Linked DNA regions of Kluyveromyces lactis. The protein of the gene in region 1 purifies or fractionates together with the protein of each later gene. This does not show direct contact. Links are inferred from orthologs where the notes say so. Each region holds a gene or a part of one and is shown on either strand. Other genes may lie near its edges.

Region 1 (2,423 bases):
TACAACAACGAACTTAATTATACAGCACGACTTCGGTTTCCACCACGAAATCTCGGAATTGAAAGTTTCTTCAAATCTAATACTCATGAAATTGAAACGAGAACTAGACTCCGATGAATCCTTTTGCCAAGTGGGACGAATCAATGAATTTATCAAATATGGCACCAAAGCCCTCGTAAGCTTACAAGAGTACGAATGGATTAACTTCATCAGGGAAGATACGTTGAAAACAAGATTTTTCGAACCAAACTGGCTCATCATTTGGGGTAATGACAGATTCACTACTGAAGGGATAATAGTTTTTGTCAGAAACACAATCCATGGCATAGAAAGATACCCGGTGGACAAAACTACTACATGCAAGATCACAGTTCGTTCGCATCCTGTGGACATAATGATGACTAAAACTGAAGAAAAACTCCACGAATGGACTGTACTTCACAGCACAGGGCACATAACCACAATAAAGACCGCTATTCTACATATTGAGTGATTTAGCTTGTTATGCATATTCTGTACTGTACTGTACCATATGCTATTTTTCTCTTTCATTCTCATCATGGCTTAGACGTGGCTGCTGAAAAATTTCGGTTTCAGATTAGGAAAAGCTCCAGTATTTGACAATGATCCGGGTCAATTAAACGCCAAATTCTATCGCTCTTCCGCTCGACTCTCACTACAATACCACTATATAGATACACACAAGTTTCACACACTGAGTCGTGCGTCGACCGTTGCAATTGCATCGATTGCACACAAATGTACCCTTTTTTATACCATAGAATCGCCAATTTTTCTCTCAAATTTGAAATTTTTCGCTTTTTCTGTCTTTTGTGTGTGATTCCCATAGACAGATCGAAAGTTTTGGGAAAAGTGTATATTTAGGAATTTTGAAATAAGTTTAAAGATACAAAAATTTAATAATAACAACAACAACATTAAGTGAAACTGGACTCGAGTGAACGAGGTGTAGAAACCAGGTCTAGACTTACTATTGATACAGGTTATTGTTGTGAGTGATTCAGTATACGGACGGTACTAAATCATAGGTCAAAGACAGAGCTTATCGTTAGTTTTCTAAGAGGTTTGATTTTTATTTCGGGTTGTTTTTATTTTCCTATTTTAACTAGTGAAGAATCAATCAAGGATAGAGTTTCTAAAGCAAGTTATTGAGTAAGAAATATAGATTCCTTCTAAGTGTCATAAAACAGAATTACTCAAGAGTTTTCGAACAGCTTTGATTTTATAATACAATAAAAAAAAGTAGTGATTTGATTTGTTTTAACCCTTTCCATAATGTCTCAAGCTGTTGGTAATGTTGCCAGCATTAGAAGAAAGCTAGTTATTGTCGGTGATGGTGCGTGTGGTAAGACTTGTTTATTGATTGTTTTCGCCAAGGGTAAGTTCCCTCAGGTTTACGTGCCCACTGTTTTCGATAATTACGTTGCTGATGTCGAAGTTGACGGTCGTCGCGTAGAATTGGCGTTGTGGGATACTGCTGGCCAAGAAGATTATGATAGATTGAGACCACTTTCGTACCCAGATTCCAACGTTGTGTTAATCTGTTACTCAATTGATTTGCCAGATTCCTTAGAAAACGTGATGGAAAAATGGATCTCTGAAGTTTTACACTTTTGTCAAGGTGTTCCAATCATCTTGGTTGGTTGTAAAGCAGATTTGAGAAATGATCCTCAAGTTGTTGAAGAACTAAGAGCTCAAGGATTACAACCTGTGTCTCAGGCTCAAGCACAAGAAGTCGCTGACCAAATCGGTGCTGTTGACTACATCGAATGTTCTGCCAAGACCGGTTACGGTGTCAGAGAAGTCTTCGAGGCTGCTACAAGAGCTTCTTTGGTCGGTAAACAAGGTAAGAGCAAACCTAAGACTAAGTCTAGCAAAAAAAAGAAGTGTGTCGTCTTGTAAATAAAGACACGCACGCCCCAAACCCACTCTTCACCCCCTTATCTCCAACTTCATTTGAATTTACCTTGAAACAGAGGACTGAGCTTTGAGGATATTATTATTAGGCGATGGGAATTGTTTACAACCGTTAATTGGCAGAAGTAAAGATCCAAAAAAAAAGAAGAGGGAAGACGAACAAACCATATTCATTTGTTTCTAATTGATCAATTTTTAATATACAAATGTCAGCAATTAATTTCCGTTGAATTTCCTAATTTTTTCTCCTCGTTCTTTTCTTTGTTTCCATCTGGTTTCAAGTGACCATCCCTCCCTGACATTTTCTCTTCTACCTCTCTTCTGTTTTGTGTGTTTCTACCTATAAATTATTTTTATATACCTACACTCTTTTATTTTGTAAGAAACTTAAATATTATCACCACTATACTGCACTTTCTCATCTTATAAATGTCACTTGCTTTGCCACAACCCAAGCGCTTCTTTTACATTGATTAAACCTTGTA
Region 2 (2,313 bases), on another chromosome or scaffold:
TGATATATTTGGAGAATGTAACGCTGCCCTCGCAATGAATCAGAAAAACTATAGTTGCTTCAAGTGTTATTATTTACCTTTCGTTTTTGGAATATTATATCTTGCCCTTAATTTCACTGCATTTGTTAAGTCTGTCAATGGCGATATCTGTCATCTCGTTGATGGCTATCCTACACTCTTCGAACCACGTATTATTGGAATTGATTCTTTGCTCCATCAGTTTACTAATTCTATCGTAAGATCTGCCATTTACAAAGACTACAAACTTCAACCCCTCATATTTCTTTTCGTACTTGTCATTCAAAGTCTTTAACCATGTCAAAATTTCTAAAGAATCGACTGTGCTACCAGTTAAGTTGGCTTGCTCTTTCATGGAATGGACAGACAGTTTCTGTTTTGAATCTCCGAGTCTTGGATGAGCACCCACTATGTTAGCCAGATGATCTACACCACGGCTGCTAATTCCTTCTGCCTCTGTATCGTCGCACACTTTCAATAATTTATCCTTAATGGCGTTGACGAGTTCCACGTAAGAATTCCATCCACTAGCCATGAATCGAGAATTTTGGAGAGTGAACCATACTAAAGAATCACTGTGTTCAAACAATACGTCTAGAATATCAATTTGTTCATTAAGTGATGAGCTTTTGAATTCATCGATACTGGGCAATCTTGTCATATTTGCAGGTAACGTTGATACGCTCTTCGTTGAAACCAGTTTATTCGATTAGGCTCTTCACGTAATCGGAAATGTCAGGATAAAGCTGTCGAATGAACTAGCATACAAACATGTTTCTTTATTAATATATCTATATATATATATACTGTGTTTGATCAGTTGTGATGTGAATTGTGATAGGATTTCCATGTATCATTAAGGGCGAGTGTGAAGTGATTAGACGTGCGGAGATCCCCGTGATTTTCAAGTCACGTGCTGTCAATGGTTTTCCTATTTTTACTTCGTTCTTTTCACTGATGCGTGTCGAGTCTCGAAGTGCAACTATTTGAGGTTTCTTAACTAACGACATCAGATCTCGAGCGGACTTTGACACTGTGTAAGAACACATGCAAAATATTGGCAATTTGATAGCTTGGGCGTTAGAGTTGATCCAACGCCATTAAAGTTCTCGCTTTATACTTTAAATCTTTTTAATCAAACATTGGATCCACTCTCAGTGATATCATTCGTGAGTTGCCGTGACCGTTTCTAGCCATGTCTGAAGAAGAGGAGTTTAAACAATTCGATGAAGAAAACGATACATACAAAGTCGGGGAGAAGAAGACTGTAGAAGAATACAAAAACTTAGATGCTGATGATGAGGCGTTAAGAAAATGGAAAGATTCTTTAGGATTGGGAGGTGATGTTTTACCATTGGAACATCCTGGGGATGAACGTCGTGTGGTGATCCAGAAGATTCAGTTGATCGTTGACACAGAACCAGCGCCAATTACGTTTGATTTGACAAACGAGAAGACTTTGAAAGACCTGGCCTCAAAGAGATACAAGATCAAAGAAAAATCTATTTACCATTTGAAGATCACTTTCAAGGTTCAACACGAAATTATTACTGGCTTAAGATACGTGCAATACACCAAAAAGGCAGGCATTGCAGTTGATAAGATTGATGACCACTTGGGTTCGTATGCTCCAAATACCACAAAGAACCCATTTTATGAGGTGGAATTGCCTGAATCTGAAGCGCCAAGTGGTTTCCTTGTTCGCGGGAATTATTCTGCAGTCTCAAAGTTCATAGATGATGATAAGAACAACCATTTGACTTTGAATTGGGGTGTTGAAATTGTGAAAAGGTGATGATTTATGATACATACTCTAAGCTGTGACAATATTTTCGCCATTGATCAGACATTGATTGTGGATGAATCTTTAGTGACGAAGTAATGTTCATGTCCAGGCTAGTCATTGCCCGGGCCCATCTTCTGAACAACGTAGCTGGCGTTCTCTAAAAGCTGAAACATTTCAATATGAACAAGTAAAAACCATTATGTTTGTAATCGCATTATATACGTCTATGATTAGATCTAACTTTTATTTGCTTCAGCAACGAAAATGACGTGCTTCATTTATGGGTTTTCCATTCTTTTTGTATCCATTAGAGTCATTTTTACCACTGTTCTTTTTCTCATAAGGTTGAAATACTGGTGGTGGCATGGCATACATTGGTTGTCCTGGTATCATCATTCGATTGTTAGTCATTGGAGCTCCTATAGGGTAGTACATATACTCCATTGGCGCTACCATCTGATATCCGAACGGAATAGAATCTGGTCTCATTGGTGCCATCGGAGGTGGCA

The links. The genes of interacting proteins can lie anywhere in the genome.
Region 2: the proteins of RHO1 (region 1) and RDI1 purify together in Saccharomyces cerevisiae (affinity purification with western blotting; 3 studies listed by BioGRID, with this or other methods). This does not show direct contact. The link is inferred for Kluyveromyces lactis from reciprocal best matches to the Saccharomyces cerevisiae genes RHO1 and RDI1.

Annotation. Positions count from the first base shown.
Region 1 is NC_006038.1:935,201-937,623, forward strand, and holds RHO1 (Rho family GTPase RHO1), read left to right. Parts: upstream 1-1,296; coding exon 1,297-1,923; downstream 1,924-2,423. Other genes in the region: KLLA0_B10604g (uncharacterized protein), read left to right, coding at 1-493. UniProt on the Saccharomyces cerevisiae protein: Acts as a central regulator in the cell wall integrity signaling pathway, which is regulated by the cell cycle and in response to various types of cell wall stress.
Region 2 is NC_006042.1:523,345-525,657, reverse strand, and holds RDI1 (Rdi1p), read left to right. Parts: upstream 1-1,213; coding exon 1,214-1,813; downstream 1,814-2,313. Other genes in the region: KLLA0_F05335g (2-oxo-4-hydroxy-4-carboxy-5-ureidoimidazoline decarboxylase), read right to left, coding at 95-679; RBS1 (Rbs1p), read right to left, coding at 2,057-2,313. UniProt on the Saccharomyces cerevisiae protein: Regulates the GDP/GTP exchange reaction of the Rho proteins by inhibiting the dissociation of GDP from them, and the subsequent binding of GTP to them.